Macaca mulatta: one gene and its partner. The protein of the gene in region 2 interacts with the protein of the main gene of each other region in a pairwise test. Links are inferred from orthologs where the notes say so. Each region holds a gene or a part of one and is shown on either strand. Other genes may lie near its edges. The genes, in order: AURKB and SEPTIN1.

The links.
Region 1: the proteins of SEPTIN1 (region 2) and AURKB interact in binary tests that used the Homo sapiens proteins (3 or more experiments, as listed by UniProt). The link is inferred for Macaca mulatta from reciprocal best matches to the Homo sapiens genes SEPTIN1 and AURKB.

Annotation. Positions count from the first base shown.
Region 1 is NC_133421.1:9,724,365-9,732,907, forward strand, and holds the start of AURKB (aurora kinase B), read right to left. Parts: upstream 5,826-8,543; 5' UTR 5,022-5,825; intron 4,367-5,021; exon of another isoform or gene 4,295-4,366; intron 3,837-4,294; exon of another isoform or gene 3,626-3,836; intron 1-3,625. UniProt on the Homo sapiens protein: Serine/threonine-protein kinase component of the chromosomal passenger complex (CPC), a complex that acts as a key regulator of mitosis.
Region 2 is NC_133425.1:28,984,560-28,993,209, reverse strand, and holds the start of SEPTIN1 (septin-1), read left to right. Parts: upstream 1-4,230; 5' UTR 4,231-4,252; coding exon 4,253-4,313; intron 4,314-4,439; exon of another isoform or gene 4,440-4,449; coding exon 4,450-4,523; intron 4,524-4,683; coding exon 4,684-4,774; intron 4,775-4,870; coding exon 4,871-4,957; intron 4,958-5,165; coding exon 5,166-5,289; intron 5,290-5,586; coding exon 5,587-5,721; intron 5,722-5,816; coding exon 5,817-5,934; intron 5,935-7,670; coding exon 7,671-7,772; intron 7,773-8,162; coding exon 8,163-8,262; intron 8,263-8,518; coding exon 8,519-8,650. UniProt on the Homo sapiens protein: Filament-forming cytoskeletal GTPase. May play a role in cytokinesis.

The DNA of each region.
Region 1 (8,543 bases), on a different chromosome or scaffold from region 2:
CTCAGAATGCTGGGCAGCTCAAGGAAGCACTTAACGTTTACTGGTTTATCATAAAGTGTATTTCAAAGGATATAGATGAAAAGAGGTATAGGGCATGGTATGGAGGAAGGGATTTCTGGAAGTGAGCAGGGAAGCATGCAGCCCTCATTGCTGCTTCTAGTGCTACTGAAGGAAGCAGCTTGACATTGAAGCCTAACATTGCAGAAGGCAGAAGAGAGGCCTGGAAAGCACTCCAGGACTTGATGACATTGTCTGCATGCCTCTGCATGCCTCCATTAGCACTTTTCCTACACGAACAATAGATATTCTTCCTGAATGCATTCTAAATGCTATTTTCCGTTTAAAGCATACCGTGTAGAAAAAACAAACCATGGCTGGGCTTGGCGGCTAATGCCTGTAACCCCAGCACTTTGGGAGGCCAAGGCAGCTGTATCACTTGATCCCAGGAGTTTAAGATCAGCCTGGGCAACATGGTGAAACCCCGTCTCTACAAAAAACACACAAAAAATTAGCCGGGTATGGTAGTGTATGCCTCTAGTCCAAGCATACACTTGGCCTCTAGTCCAAGCTACTTGGTAGGCTGAGGCAGGAGAATCAGCAGAGCCCAGAGGTCAAGGCTGTGGTGAGCCATGATTGTGCCACTGCACTCCAGCTCCGACATGAGAGTGACACCCTGTCTCAATAAAAACAAAAAACGGGCCGGGTACAGTGGCTCACACCTGTAATCCTAGCACTTCAGGAGCCCCAGGAGAGTGGATTGCCTGAGCTCAGGAGTTCAAGACCACCCTGGGCAACATGGTGAAACCCATCACTACTAAAATACAAAAAATTAGCCAGTTCTGGCCAGGCGTGGTGGCTCATGCTTGTAATCCCAGCACTTTGGAAGGCTGAGGCAGGCGGATCACGAGGTCAGGAGTTCAAGACCAGCATGGCCAACACAGTGAAACCCCACTCTACTAAAAATACAAAAATTAGCTGGGTGTGGTGGCAGGAGCCTGTAATCCCAGCTACTTGGGAGGCTGAGGCAGGAGAATCGCTTGAACCCGGGAGGTGGAGGTTGCAGGGAATCGAGATCGCACTACTGCACTCCAGCCTGGGTGACAGAGCTAGACTCCATCTCGAAAAAAAAAAAAAAAAGGCCAGTTGTGGTGGCAGGTACCTGTAGTCCCAGCTACTCAGGAGGCTGAGTGAGGCACAAGAATTGCTTAAACCTGGGAGTGTTGCAGTGAGCTGAGATCACGCCACTGCACTCCAGCCTGGGCAACACAACAAGAATCTGTCTAAAAAAAAAAAAAAAGGCCGGGCGCGGTGGCTCAAGCCTGTAATCCCAGCACTTTGGGAGGCCGAGACGGGTGGATCACGAGGTCAGGAGATCGAGACTATCCTGGCTAACACGGTGAAACCCCGTCTCTACTAAAAAATACAAAAAACTAGCCGGGCGAGGTGGCGGGCGCCTGTAGTGCCAGCTACTCGGGAGGCTGAGGCAGGAGAATGGCGTGAACCCGGGAGGCGGAGCTTGCAGTGAGCTGAGATCCGGCCACTGCACTCCAGCCTGGGCGACAGAGCGAGACTCCGTCTCAAAAAAAAAAAAAAAAAAAAAAAAAAGACCCAATTTTTCCTCTGCCCTCACACCACAGCAATCAACACAGGAGACTTCTGCGACCACATGTGTGGGGATTTTACTCCACTACCAAGCAAGCAATAGTTCTGCAGCAGCCATCAGCCGGGAGTCTTCCAATTCGATTCTGACACTATCTACCTGGAGAGAGCATCAGATCCCACAGGTTGACGGCTTAGTCCCACAAGGCTGCCCCTCACTTTGGATGCCAACCACAAGCCTCAGGTTGTTTTACCTGTACTTATGACTAACTAGGTATAAGTTGGGGTTTCTACAATTCTCTCTTTATGTTCAATGAATTTGCTAGAGTGGCTCACAGAACTCAGGGAAAAATGTTCACTAGTTTATTATAAAGGATTTTTTTTTTTTTTTGAGATGGAGTCTCTCTGCCGCCCAGGCTGGAGTGCAATGGCGCAATCTCGACTCACTGCAAGCTCCGCCTCCCGGATTCAAGTGATTTTCCTGCCTCAGCCTCCCCAGTAGCTGTGACTACAGGAGCCCGCCACCACGCCTGGCTAATTTTTGTATTTTTAGTAGACATGGAGTTTCACCACGTTGGCCAGGCTTGTCTTGAACTCCCATCCTTGTGATCCATCCACTTCGGTCTCCCAAAGTGCTGGGATTACAAGCCTATATTCCCAACACTTTAGGAAGCTGAGGCGGGAGGATCACCTGATGTCAGGAGTTTGAGACCAGCCTGGCCAACATGATGAAACCCCGTCTCTACTAAAAATATTTTTTAAATGGCTGTGCATGGTGGCTCACGCCTGTAATCCCAGCACTTTGGGAGGCCGAGATAGGTGAATCACCTGCACTCTACTGCACTCCAACCTAAGTGACAGAGTGAGACTCCATCTCAAAAAAAAAAAAAAAAAGAAGCTAGTTATCAACTACCACTACATGACCAGTTAGAGAAACAAGGACTGTAAGTGTATTTCCCTTTTTTTTTTTTTTTTTTTTTTTTGAGACGAAGCCTCACTCTGTCCCCCAGGTTGGAGAGTAATGGCATGATCTCAGCTCACTGCAACCTCCGCCTCCCAAGCTCAAGTGATTCTCCTGCCTCAGCCTCCCAAGTAGCTGGGATTACAGGCATGTGCCACCATGCCTGGCTAATTTTTTTGTATTTTTGGTAGAGATGGGTTTCACCATGTTGGCCAGGCTGGTCTCAAACTCCCGACCTCAGGTGATCTGCCCTCCTTGGCATCCCAAAGTGCTGGGATTATAGGCATGAACCACCCCGCCCCACCGGTTTTGTTTTTCGATTTACTGGAAGCAGCCAAAAGGCACGTGGTCCTGGGCTTCTAGTGACTGCTGGGAAGTCTGGAGAAAGGTAGTATTTGTATTTAATATCCTTGTGTTCAGTGTTAAGTAAACATACATAGAACAGCAGAGATTATTAAAAACATTTAAAAAGGCTGGGCACGGTGGCTCACACCTGTAATCCCAGCACTTTGGGAGGCCCAGGCGGGCGGATCACCAGAGGTTGGGAGTTCGAGACCAGCCTGACCAATATGGAGACACCCCCTCTCTACTAAAAATACAAAATTAGCCGGGCGTGGTGGTGCATGCCTGTAATCCCAGCTACTCGGGACGCTGAGGCAGGAGAATCCTTTTGAACCCATGGCTGGAGGTTGCGGTGAGCTGAAATAGTGCCATTGCATTCCAGCCTAGGCAACAAAAGAGAAACTCCATCTCAAGGGAAAAAAGATACAAACAAACAATAATAATTGAAAAAAATTCTTAAAAAATTTCCATACAACAGTAATTTTTTTAATTTTTAAATTTATTTTTACTTTTATAGACTTTAGGGGTACATGTGCAGTTTTGCCTCAGGGATATATCACATAGTGCTGAAAGTCTGTACCCAACTGAAATTGTACCCAACTTCTGAATAACGTTCACATTTGTCTCATTCCCCTCCTATCCTTCTACTGAGGAGGTTTTTTTTGTCCTGTCCCTAAAAATGTCACCGTAAATCTATTTGATTAGGGAAAACAATGTTTGGTTTGACCCCGACGTGATTTGAACACGCAACCTTCTGATCTGGAGTCAGACGCGCTACCGTTGCGCCACGAGGCCTGCCCGAGAGGGTGACTTGAGGGGTCTCTTGAACAGCAATAAGGGGAGGACTTTTGTCATGAAGCCGTATCTTTAAGATTTGTCAGCGCATTTCTGCGAGGCACCAGCTGACGAGATGTGGGCGCACGTACGTAGGAATCTGAATAAATAATAAAGAGGCAAATTGTGTTTAGGCGCATTTGACTTAGGGCCCAGTTCCTTAACTTGAATCACATTGAGCTCATTGAGCCCACTCTACAGAGAAGCGATTTTTATGCGTCTAGGACTCTTTTTTTTTTTTTTTTCTGGAGATGATAAATCATCATGATGCCGCTGCAGTTCTCGCCCCCTGGAGAGATCTTAGATGTAATCCCAGCTCTGCCGGTGACTCAACTTCTTTGGACCTTGGTTTCCTCGTCTGTAGACTGGGCATAACCCTACAGGTTCATGTGGGGTGGCGCGCACTAGCGGTAAAGGTCACGCACAATTGCGCCGGGCAGACGACAGCAGCCATTACTTTTACCTGGATCTCGCTGATGCTGTTTCCCTGGCTCCGCACGGGTCCAACGCGACTCACCGCAATCAACATGAGGTATGAAAGAAAACAGCAGTACCTAAGCGTTGGTGGTATAGTGGTGAGCATAGCTGCCTTCCAAGCAGTTGACCCGGGTTCGATTCCCGGCCAACGCAAGTGCATTTTGAATTTTTTTTTTTCCCTCTTTTCTTTCTCGTGTTTTCTGGGCCCCACCATCGTTGAGGATTTTCGTGAGGTTTTCCTGAGGAACCGTCCTCTCCGAAAGAACCCGCTTTCCGCTACACCTGCGACCACTGCCGGACCACCGCGCTCCTGGCGGATGCGCCCTGCAAGCCCCTCCAGGTGAGAGCAGCCTGTCGGAATTTCGGCCCGGGGTTGCCTACTGTTCCCGGATCGCAGTGCGAATCCACAAAACGCAGGGAGGTGAAAGGAAACAAAAGCCCGGGCTCTGCACCCTGGACAGCCGGGGGCCAAATGGCTGCTTGCCCAGGTTCAAGCAGAGACTGGAAATGCGCACTGCCGTCAAGGAGGGAGCAAGCTAGATCAAGTTTGAGCACTAATGAACATATTGAGCGGAGGAGATAGTGGCCACTTTAGGTACACGTTTGAACTCCAAGTTGCTTGAACTAAAATGGAAACTTAGAATGCGAGCTGGAGAGGTAGGCCAAACTTTCCTCCCCTCCTCCTTTCCCTCTTTTTTCTAGCTCCATCCCAGGGGCCAGGACGGATTTAATGAAAGCAAAATCATTTGGATTCTCCCCCTCGGGGAATGGAACCCCGGTCTTCCGCGTGACAGGCGGGGATACTCACCACTATACTAACGAGGAGTGACCCGTCAATGGTCGTCTCCAAATCCTTGATCTGGGACTTTACACTCGGCTTGCTGACAGCAGAGTTCCTAAGGGTTCTGTTCTTCCGACCACCGAGAAAAGCCGACCAGAAACTGTAGGTGTATTTCAGGCACCCATCGTCAGACGGAGTGACCGAAAGAGACAGAGTACCTCCAGGGCTGCAGAGAACCAAGTTCTGACAGTTCCTGGGCTCTCCCGAACACTGTCATCCACAACTATAGATTGATGGGTGTCAATCAAACCGAAACCAGGCTGTAGTGGCGGAGTTGAGACACCACGCAGGAAGTCAAGAAGCAGAAAGGGAGCGTCCTGCCCAAGTCTGGGCGTGCCTCGTCTCTTCCTGACATGCCAGGCGGGTCTGGGGACTGAGATTCTTTCTGTTACCCCGGTGCCACAAAAGAGCTTACTGTACATTGATGATTTCCAGTGAAGCCTCCTGCAGCGCTGGTCAGGTAACACATTCCTTGAAGACACTCTTATTTCAGCAAAACGTAAAGGAGGGCTCGTCCGGGATTTGAACCCGGGACCTCTCGCACCCGAAGCGAGAATCATACCCCTAGACCAACGAGCCGACGTACGAATGCCGTTGCGAACCGCCCTAGAGGTCGTGCCAGGCTAGCTGTAGTGCCGGGTCCACTATGCATGGCAGAACGGTCCTGGCGCCGCTCAGGAACCAGCCTCCCCCAAGCCTAGTATTTTGGAGCACGGGTCTGGGAGTCCCTTGGCTCTGGGCCGCCAGCTCCAACTCCTCCCAGGAAATAGCGTCGAGGAAGTGGAAGGGAGTGGCCTCAGCCTAGCCCCCGCGCCGCCCTGGAGGACTGCCTTGAACACCCGGGTTCCTGCTTCCTTTGGTCACCGACTCGGTGCCATTCCGTAACCTGGGATCTTGACAATTCCCGCCTCCGCCTGCGGTCCTTGGACCTAGTCCTTCGTTGCAGAGCTTTGAAGAGAAGCGGTGGAGTTGCTTGCTTTCGGGACGGGTCGGAGACAGTTAATGAGCCTTGAAATCACTAGGGGAACACCAGTTCCCCGTGTCTGTCTATCCTCCTGGGCTAACGGGCAGGGCAAACCCCGGGCCAGACCCGTCGATAGACTACGGGTTCCCCAGACCGCGTGGCAGTGCCCAGGCGAGGGAAAGAGGGAACGATTTCTGGGGCCCAGGAGACCCACGGTGGAGGGCGTTATTGATCTGGGTGACTGGAGTGGGACAGGCTTTCCACCCTGCAGTGGGGCGGGGCGCAAGGCCAGGCGACTAGTCTCGTGGCTTCTGGACTGTAAGATCAGGTTACCCCTACCCTCCGGTCTAACCTCTGCTCTCCAGTCCCCTCCTAGAATGGCCTAGAAGGAGACCTTCCTGCCTGCCTCCTAAGACCCCCCCGAAGGCTCTGAGGCAAGTGGCCTCACGAGTGTGGTCTAAGACCTGTAGACCCGGTTTGGGGACTTAGCAGTACTCCGGAGCTGCCCAGAGTCCCAGAAGATCTGGTGGAGTCAGTAGCAGACCACGTGTTCTGCCTTTCCTCAGCTCAGTGCCTGTTCTGGGGAGTCCTCCCCGCGGGGTTCTGGCCTGCATCGGTCCTGGACCAGCCTGGTAGCATCTCTGGAACCATTTTGTTCTACACCCCAGTTATGTGATTTGTGGGGCCAGGCCGTTCCTAACGCCCAACCCATAGATACGTTGACGGGGCCTTCAGTGAAGGATTCAGCTCCTATTTGTCCTTTCCCAGGTGTCCCTGGGCAGACAGTGGGGAAGGGCAGAAGTTAGCCCAGTCTTTCCCATTAGTGTCCTAAGTCTTTGAGACGGGTAAAGAGGTTCTCAGGGCTGATCTGGCATCTCCTCCCCCATCCCTACCCTTTTCCAATTCCTGTCTCCCTCCCCTTGGGCTCCAGCTTTCTCTGCAAAATAATCCAGTCACCTCTTTCTTCCCTGGTCTGAAGAACTTAATCTCTGCAGAAGGGGAGGCCTAAATCCTTTATGACCCTTATGAAAGCTATGACCCTCTTCCCCGGGGGCGGTGGCTCACACCTGTAATCCCAGCACTTTGGGAGGCTGAGGCGGGTGGATCACAAAGTCAGGAGTTCAAGACCAGCCTGGCCAAAATGGTGAAACACCGTCTCTACTAAATATACAAAAATTAGCCCGGCACGGTGGCACGCGCCTGTAATCCCAGCTACTTGGGAGGCTGAGGTAGGAGAATTGCGCAAACCCAGGAGGCAGAGGTTGCAGTGAGTCAATATCGTGCCACTGCACTCCAGTCTGGGTGACAGAGTGAGATTCCATCTCAAAAAAAAAAAGCTATGGCCCTCTTCCTAGATATGTATACAATCCAGAGAGTTCACACATACCCTGAAATCCCATCCGCATACCCCACACTTTTATTATTTTAAAAGTGCGTACATAGACCCCACTTTTAGACCCATCTTACGTTGGTTTGTGGGCCATGGAATTGTGTCGAGAGCTTTCTGCCTATCTTCCAAGGAGGTTTAGGTCCTGCCAAGACCCCACAGATCCTATTTCTTGCCTTCTCTCCTGCATTTATTTCTACCTTAACCAGCCTAGCTTCAGTGCTCCAGAAGCGTGCCCTGCCCTTCCACACCAGGCTTCCTAGGGACTCCCGAATGACACGCTTTCTTGTCTCTGTCCACATGGCCTTAGGTTTCCGCACCCTCCTGCAGGAAACCTGGTGCCAGGCCAAGCCAGCCGGATCCCTGCTTACTCCTTACCCTGACATCCCGCTAGTGGAGAGGGATGGAGGTAACTGCATGTGAAAGACCAGTTAGAGAACCGCATCTAGAAGCTGTGCCAAATTTTAAACACTGTATATATAAATATATATTACATACTATATGTATAATATAAAATTATGAGCCACCAAACCCAAATAAACATAATGAAGAGCCAAACAAAACAAAGTGGCTCAGGTTCTAGGGAATGTCCTAGGGTAGGGAAAGAGGCCTGGAAGGTGGGCAGCCTCTTCCGTCAAGGGTAGGGCAGCCACCAGACCCAGTCCACCTGCACCAGTAGGGTGTGGCATCAGTTGGGCAAAGTACCCTTACGCCTATGCAGCATTTCTGCCCCAGTTAGAGAACCACCTTTTAGAGTGGCGATATCATAGGAGTGGCAAGTCGACTCAGCAGGAAATTTGGGTGCTCTGAGTGCAGAACAGAAACTCTTGCGCGTTCTGATATAAAAACAATCCATGAATCTATTAAGGGATGAGGATTCAGCTGCAAAATTACGCTATTTCAATTGAATAAAGGCACCGCTGGGATTCGAACCCAGGATCTCCTGTTTACTAGACAGGCGCTTTAACCAACTAAGCCACGGCGCCAAGGCTGCCCTTAAGGATTTTGAAATTCGTCTACAAGAATATACTGCGGGGAACCTGGACCCAGGTTTTTCAGACCTAATTCAGATTAGAATTAATTTGGTAAGTAAACTGGCTCTTGCATCACTCATCCATTCCTGGGATTTCCTTCAATT
Region 2 (8,650 bases):
GCGGAGATTGCAGTGAGCTGAGATGGTGCCACTGCACTCCAGCCTGGGCGACAGAGCAAGACTCTGTCTCAATAAAAATTAAAAAATAAAAAAAATTAGGCCAGGTGCAGTGGCTCATACCTATAATCCCAGCACTTTGGGAGGCCGAGGTGGGAGGATCATTTGAGGCCAGGAGTTTGAGACCAGCCTGAGCAACACATTGAGATCCTGTCTTTGACAAAAAAAAAAAAAAAAAAAAAAATAGCTGGGCATCGTGGTGCACAACTATTGTCCCAGCTAGCTGGGAAGTTGAGGCAGGAGGATCACTTGAGCCCAAGAGTTTGAGGCTGCAATGAGTCATTGTGGTGTCACTACACTAAAGCATGGGTGACAAAGCGAGACCCTGTCTCAAAAATAAATAAAAAGAGATTACAGACGTGAGCCACTGTCTGGCCTACATTTTTTATTTTATTTTATTTTTTATTTATTTATTTATTTTTTTTTTTTTTTGAGACGGAGTCTTGCTCTGTCACCCAGGCTGGAGTGCAGTGGCCGGATCTCAGCTCACTGCAAGCTCCGCCTCCCGGGTTTACGCCATTCTCCTTTCTCAGCCTCCCGAGTAGCTGGGACTACAGGAGCCCGCCACCTTGCCCGGCTAGTTTTTTGTATTTTTTAGTAGAGGCGGGGTTTCACCGTGTTAGCCAGAATGGTCTCGATCTCCTGACCTCGTGATCCGCCCGTCTCGGCCTCCCAAAGTGCTGGGATTACAGGCTTGAGCCACCGCGCCCGGCCTTTTATTTATTTTTTTAATACAGATCGGGTCTTGCTATGTTGACCAGACTGCTCCTGAACTCCTAGCCTCAAGCAATCCTCCCACCTCAGCCTCCCAAAGCACTGGGATTACAGGCATGAGCCATCACGCCCAACTTTTTTTTTTTTTTTTTTTGAGACAGAGTCTCGCTCTGTCACCCAGGCTGAAGTGCAGTGGCACAGTCTCAGCTCACTGCAAGCTCCACCTCCTGGGTTCACGCCATTCTCCTGCCTCAGCCTCCCAAGTAGCTGGGACTACAGGTACCCGCCACCATGCCCGGCTAATTTTTTGAATTTTTAGTAGAGACGGGGTTTCACCGTGTTAGCCAGAATGGTCTCGATCTCCTGACCTCATGATCCGCCTCATGATCAGCCTCCCAAAGTGCTGGGATTATAGGCATGAGCCACCACGCCCAGCCCAACTTTTTTTTTTTTTCCTTTAAACATGTTATTCTGCCGGGCGCGGTGGCTCACGCCTGTAATCCCAGCACTTTGGGAGGCCGAGACGGGCGGATCACGAGGTCAGGAGATCGAGACCATCCTGGCTAACACGGTGAAACCCCGTCTCTACTAAAAAATACAAAAAACTAGCCGGGCGAGGTGGCGGGCGCCTATAGTCCCAGCTACTCGGGAGGCTGAGGCAGGAGAATGGCGTGAACCCGGGGGGCGGAGCTTGCAGTGAGCTGAGATCAGGCCACTGCACTCCAGCCTGGGTGACAGAGCGAGACTCCGTCTCAAAAAAAAAACAAAAAAACAAAAAAAACATGTTATTCTGTCAAAGGCTGTTGAATAACTCAGAGAAGAATTGATCAGGATCTGAACCCAAAGCAGGTTAATGGCATGGAGAGTGTGGAGAAAAGGGGACCAATTTTTCTGAAGGATAGGCGGGAATTGGAAACTCACTGGAAACACTTGCGGGGAGTGAGGGTGGGAGGAGTTCAGATTTTTTTTTTTTTGAGACAGAGTCTTGCTCTGTCGCCAGGCTGGAGTGCAGTGGTGCGATCTTGGCTCACTGCAACCTGCGCCTCCTGGGTTCAAGTGATTCTTGTGCTTCAGTCTCCCGAGTAGCTGGGATTACAGGCATGTGCAACCACACCCAGCTAATTTTTGTATTTTAGTAGAAACGGGGTTTCACCATGTTGGCCAGGATGGTCTCGATCTCCCGACCTCCTGATCTGCCTGCCTTGGCCTCCCCAAATCCTGGGATTACAGGTGTGAACCACCATGTCCTGCTGAGTTCAGAATTTTAACTAAGACCATAGAGATGCTCAGCCTGGTGAGAGATGCAGGAGGAAGGCCGGTGGTGGAGTGCTCAGAGGTAACATGATCCCTGCCCTTTGCTTATTTATTTATTTATTTATTTATTTATTTATTATTTGAGAAAGAGTTTTGCTCTTGTCACCCAGATTGGAGTGCAATGGCACGATCTCGGCTCACTACGACCTCCGCCTCCCAGGTTCAAGTGATTCTCCTGCTTCAGCTCCTGTGTAGCTGGGATTACAGGCATGCGCCACCACGCCCGACTAATTTTGTATTTTTAGTAGAGTCAGGGTTTCTCCATGTCGGTCAGGCTGGTCTTGAACTCCTGACCACAGGTGATCTGCCCGACTTGGCCTCCCAAAGTGCTGGGATTACAGGAATGAGCCACCACGCCCGGCATATTTATTTATTTTTTTGAGATGGAGTCTTGCCCTGTCGCCCAGGCTGGAGTGCAGTGGCAGGATCTTGGCTCACTGCAACCTACGCCTCTCAGGTTCTAGCAATTCTCCTGCCTCAGCCTCCCTAGTAGCTGTGATTACAGGCACGCACCACCACACCTGGCTAATTTTTGTATTCTTAGTAGAGACGGGGGTTTCACCATGTTGGCCAGGCTGGTCTCCAACTCCTGAACTCAAGTGATCCGCCTGCCCTGGCCTCCCAAAGTGCTGGAATTACAGGCGTGAGCCACTGCGCCCAGCTACCCTTTCCAGATTCTTAACAGTCCCTAGATGGTATTAAGTAGCATTTTTGTTTGTTTTTGTTTTTTGAGACGGAGTCTTGCTCTGTAACCAGGCTGGAGTGCAGTGGCATGATCTTGGCTCACTGCAACCTCCACCTCCTGGGTTCAAGCAATTCTCCTGCCTTAGTAGCTGGGACTTAGTACCTTAGTAGCTGGGACTACAGGCACACGCCACCATGCCCAGCTAATTGTTTGTATTTTTAGTAGAGATGGAGTTTCACCATGTTGGCCAGGATGGTCACGATCTCTTGACCTCGTGATCTGCCCAACTCGGCCTCCCAAAGTGCCGGCATAACAGGTGTGAACCACCGTACCCGTCCTGGGGTAGATTTGTTTGCTTGTTTGTTTGAGATAGGGTCTTGCTCTGTCGTCCAGGATGGAGTGTAGCAGTGCAGTCTCGGCTTACTGCAACCTCCATGTCCTGGGTTCGAGCAATTTTCTTGCCTCAGATTCCCAAGTAGCTGGAATTATAGGCACACACCACCACGCTTGCTAATTTTTGTATTTTGCTAGACAGGGTCTCGCCATGTTGGCCAGGCTGGTCTTGAACTCCTGACCTCAAGTGATCCACCCACCTCGGCCTCCCAAAGAGCTGGGATTACAGGCATGAGCCACCATGCCCAGCCTGGTGCTGGGAATCTGAAGAAGGAACAATGACCCTGCCTATGGTAGGTGGGGAGATTGCATAGAGGCAGAGCCCTTGGAAAGAAACACTTGAAGGATGAGGAAGAGTTTAACTGATTCGGAAAAAGGAAAAGCTCAATGTGGGTAGAGAGCCAAGGATGTTTGGAAGAGTGAGAGATGGGGTGATGAGGCCAGCTGAAGGAGGCTTTGGCAGTCAGGCCAGAATTCCGACTTGACTCTGAGTTACTGGGGAGTTCCTAAAGGATTTCGAGCAGCGGAGTTCCTTGGCCAGGATTCTGAAGGAAAATCTCTCCGGCAGTGGTTTCCAAAGATCTGGAGTCCTTTTATGAATCCATTGTCTTAGCTGGAAAATGGATGGCCTTACCCACTCCCAATCCCATCATGGCTTCTGGTCCACTTAAACCATGAGAATTTTTTTCTTTTTCTTTTTTTGAAACAGGGTCTTGCTGTGTTGCTCAGGCTGGAGTGTAGTGGTGTGATCACAGCTCACTGCAGTCTTGATCTCCTGGGCTCATGCAATCCTCCCACCTCAGCCTCCCCAGTAGCTGGGACTACAGGATTGTACCATCATGCCTGGCTAATTTTTAAAGTTTTTGTAGAGATGGTAGAGGGGCACATCCCTCTGTTGCCCAGGGTGGTCTTGAGCTCCTTGGCTCAAGCAGTCCTCCCTCCTCTGCCTCCCAAAGTGCTGAGATTACAGGCGTGAGCCACCTTGCCTGTCCTGGGAACTGGTTTTTAATCAGCTCATCAAAACCTTCATCTCACTTGCTAACAAAGGGAGCCGCTTCCTTCCTCTCTGCACATACCCCATGTCTCACCATGATAATGGAGTTACAGTGGGACTTGGAATCCAGATGTGTGAAAGATGGAGGGGTTGAAGGTGCATAGAGGGGTGATGGGCAAAGGGGTCCAGGAGGTGATAACCCCAGGTATTCTTGGCCTTGGCCTTCCCCACCTCTCTGGGACTGGGCCAGTTTGAGCATCTCAGCTGCCTCTTCTGCCCGCCCACTCGTTAGCCGCACTCAGCTTCCTGCCCCACCAGAGGAAGTGGGGAGAGACGGCAGGTGCAGTGATGGCTGGCGGAGTCATGGTGAGTCCTCATGCCCAGAAACCCAGGCATCTCGGCCCCCAGCCCCCTATGCCTAGGGTCCCCAGACCCCACTGACTCTTCCTAGCCCAGGAACTCAAATGATCCTGGGGACCCTGCCTGCCATTGCCAGCAGCCTCATATTGTCCACCCCCATCCACAGGACAAGGAGTACGTGGGTTTTGCTGCCCTCCCCAACCAGCTGCACCGCAAGTCTGTCAAGAAGGGGTTTGACTTCACACTAATGGTGGCAGGTCTGGGGGGTTTTGGAGAGGGAACTGCAGAGAGGATGCCCTTAGGAGACCCTGGTTGTCCCCTCCCCTGACCAGCTGGGCCTGTTCTGTCCACAGGGGAGTCAGGCCTAGGGAAATCCACCCTCATCAACAGCCTCTTCCTCACCAACCTCTATGAGGATCGCCAGGTGCCAGAGGCCAGTGGTAAGACCCTCCCCACCCTCCCCAGGCAGTGGCCCCTGTCCCCAGGTTACACCCTAGTCTTTTCCATCTGGGGACTCAGGTAGTTGACTACTTTTTTCTGAGACTTTCCTCCCCTGGAAAATGGGTGCAGGCAACTGTGATATTAACAAAGGAAATTAATCTTGCCTCAGAGCCTCCCTGGATCCCTGACCTCTCCCCCCTCCCACAGCTCGCTTGACACAGACCCTGGCCATTGAGCGCCGGGGTGTGGAGATCGAGGAAGGAGGTGTGAAAGTGAAGCTAACCCTTGTGGACACACCTGGCTTTGGGGACTCAGTGGACTGCTCTGACTGGTGAGGAAGAGGGAAGGGGACAGAGGCTCAGCCTCTCACAGTGGCGACTCCCTGAAGACCAACGGGTCAGTTACAGGGCTGGTTTGTGCTGGCTCCCTATTCCAAAAGGTTGTGTCTGTTTCAGAGGGTCACTGGGTCTCTGTGCTTCTTGATGACTCGCCTAGGCCCCCACCAGTTCCCTTTAATGTCTTTGGAGGGAGCCAAAGAAATGATGTTCTATTCCCACAGTCCTGGCTAGCCTCGCCCCCTGCCCTCTGGCCTTTGATCTCTGACTTCACATCCTCTTCCCACACCCAGCTGGCTTCCCGTGGTGAAATTCATCGAGGAGCAGTTTGAGCAGTACCTTAGGGATGAGAGTGGCCTGAACCGGAAGAACATCCAGGACTCCCGCGTCCATTGCTGCCTCTACTTCATCTCACCCTTTGGCCGGGGGTCTGGTGGGGGGATCCTGGGGGCTGGGGCATTTAGGGAGGGCTGGGGGGGTCTCTGCCCCCTGAGGCTGGGCACTGACCAATCCCTGGGTGCAGGCTCCGGCCCCTAGATGTGGCCTTCCTTCGGGCGGTACACGAGAAAGTCAACATCATCCCAGTCATTGGCAAAGCGGATGCCCTGATGCCCCAGGAAACCCAGGCCCTCAAGCAGAAGGTGTGAGTGATGACCTCTGGCCTTTGACCCCAAGTGAGGCCAAACCTGATTTCAGCTTAGACTTCTTTGATCTTATTATTATTTTTTTTTGAGACGGAGTCTCCCTGTGTCGCCCAGGCTGGAGTGTAGTGGCGTGATCTCGGCTCACTGCAAGCTCCGCCTCCCAGGTTTTCACCATTCTCCTGCCTCAGCCTCCTGAGTAGCTGGGACTACAGGCGCCCGCCACCGTGCCCGGCTAGTTTTTTGTATTTTTTAGTAGAGACGGGGTTTCACCATGTTAGCCAGGATGGTCTCGATCTCCTGACCTCGTGATCCGCCCGTCTCGGCCTCCCAAAGTGCAGGGATTACAGGCTTGAGCCACCGCGCCCAGCCGACTTCTTTGATCTTAAAGTGGCCTTTTTGGAGCATAGTGTCTCAGGCTAGATTGTAGGAGAAGCTTCTGAGGAATGTGGGTGGTAAGCTGCCAGCCAGCGTAGCCATGTCTCTGAAGGCTCAAAATAGGCTAGATATGCAGCCCCTGGGCTAGATGCCTGGCTAAGGCCTATTTGAGGGCGGGAGCATAGACATAAGAACATGGTGACTTCCATCTGGCCCCCACCCCGTGTCTTCAGAGCCCTTTTCCACTGTTTCTGCTTATATATCTCTCAGCCTCTCTCTCTTTTTTTTTTTTTTTTAGATAGAGTCTCACTCTGTGGCCCAGGCTGAGTACAGTGGCAAGATCATAGCTCACTGCAGCCTCAAATTTGTAGGCTCAAGTGATCCTCCTGCCTCAGCCTATTGAATAGCAGGGACTACAGATGAGCACCACCATGCCCAGCTAACATTTTTGGCTGGGCGTGGTGGCAGACACCTGTAATCCCAGCACTTTGGGAGGCTGAGGTCAGTGGATTACTTGAGCTGAAGAGTTTAAGACAAGCCAGGGCAACATGGCAAAACCCCATCTCTACAAAAAATATAAAAATTAGCCAGGTGTGGTGGTGTGCACTTGTAGTCCCAGCTATTCAGGAGGCTGAGATGGGAGGATCACCTGAGCCTGTGAGGTTGAGGCTGCAGTGAACCAAGATGGAGCCACTGGACTCCACCCTGGGTGATAGAGTGAAACCTTGTTTCAAAATATATATATATTTTTAGGCCGGGCGCGGTGGCTCAAGCCTGTAATCCCAGCACTTTGGGAGGCCGAGACCGGCGGATCACGAGGTCAGGAGATCGAGACCATCCTGGCTAACCCAGTGAAATCCCGTCTCTACTAAAAAATACAAAAAACTAGCCGGGCGAGGCGGCGGGCGCCTGTAGTCCCAGCTACTCGGGAGGCTGAGGCAGGAGAATGGCGTGAACCCGGGAGGCGGAGCTTGCAGTGAGCTGAGATCCGGCCACTGCACTCCAGCCTGGGCGACAGACCGAGACTCCGTCTCAAAAAAAAAAAAATAAATAAAAAAAAATAAAAAATATATATATATATATATATTTTTTTTCTTTGTAGAGATGGGATCTAGCTATATTGCCCAGGCTTCTCCTGGTCTCTTAATGTCTGCCCCATATTAGAATCTTGTGTTTCTCACCATCTATGTCTCTGAGATTTTGTTTTTGTCTTCCTGTACGTCCATCTCTCCCCATCTCTGTCTTTCATGTCTTTCTGTCTCTGACCAGCCAGTATCTCTGTGTCTCCCTGTCTCTGGTCATGCAATGTCTGTCATTGTGGCCTGTTTCACACTGTCTCTGTATCTGTTTCCCCTGAGATCCGGGATCAGTTGAAGGAGGAGGAGATCCACATCTACCAGTTCCCTGAATGTGACTCTGACGAAGATGAAGACTTCAAGAGGCAGGATGCAGAGATGAAGGTGTGGGAGACAAAGAAGGAAGGCAGGCTGGGCACGGTGGCTCACGTCTGTAATCCCAGCACTTTGGGAGGCTGAGGCAGGCGGATCCCCTGAGGTCAGGAGTTCGAGACCAGCCTGGGCAACATGGCGAGACCCCGCCTCTACTAAAAACACAAAAATTAGCCAGGTGTGGTGGCGGGCACCTGTAATTCCAGCCACTCGGGAGGCTGAGGCAGGAGAATCACTTGAACACTCCAGCCTGGGCAATGGAGCGAGACCCTGTCTTAAAAGAAAAAAAAAAATAAAGAGGAAGGGGCAGGAAGCAGAGGAGGTGGGTGTGGAGATTGAAGCTGGGAAAGAGAAAGTTTCTGCCATGTGGGCCAGCGGTGACCCCTGCCCCCTGCCCTCCAGGAAAGCATCCCTTTTGCAGTCGTGGGTTCATGCGAGGTGGTGAGGGATGGCGGGAAGCGACCGGTGAGGGGACGCCGCTACTCCTGGGGGACCGTGGAGGGTGAGTGAGGCCAGGCAGGGTTCCTAAGGCCAGCAAGGAGCCCGGGGCCTCTGGGTCAGGCGCACTCAACATGTGAAGTTGGGGTGGGCTTTGGTCCCAGGGGATCCTAGGGGGAAAGGGGTTCTCCTTTCCATGGGCTGCAGACCGCGGACCCTCCGCCAGAGTGGCAGCAGGACTTCCCTGTTGACCCGACCCTACGGGTGGGTGGGACCCGAAACTCCCTGACGTTCGCTGGTCCGCGCCGCCCCCCCTCCAGTGGAGAACCCACATCACTGCGATTTCCTGAACCTGCGACGGATGCTGGTGCAGACACACCTGCAGGACCTGAAAGAGGTGACGCACGATCTGCTCTACGAGGGCTACCGGGCCCGCTGCCTACAGAGCCTGG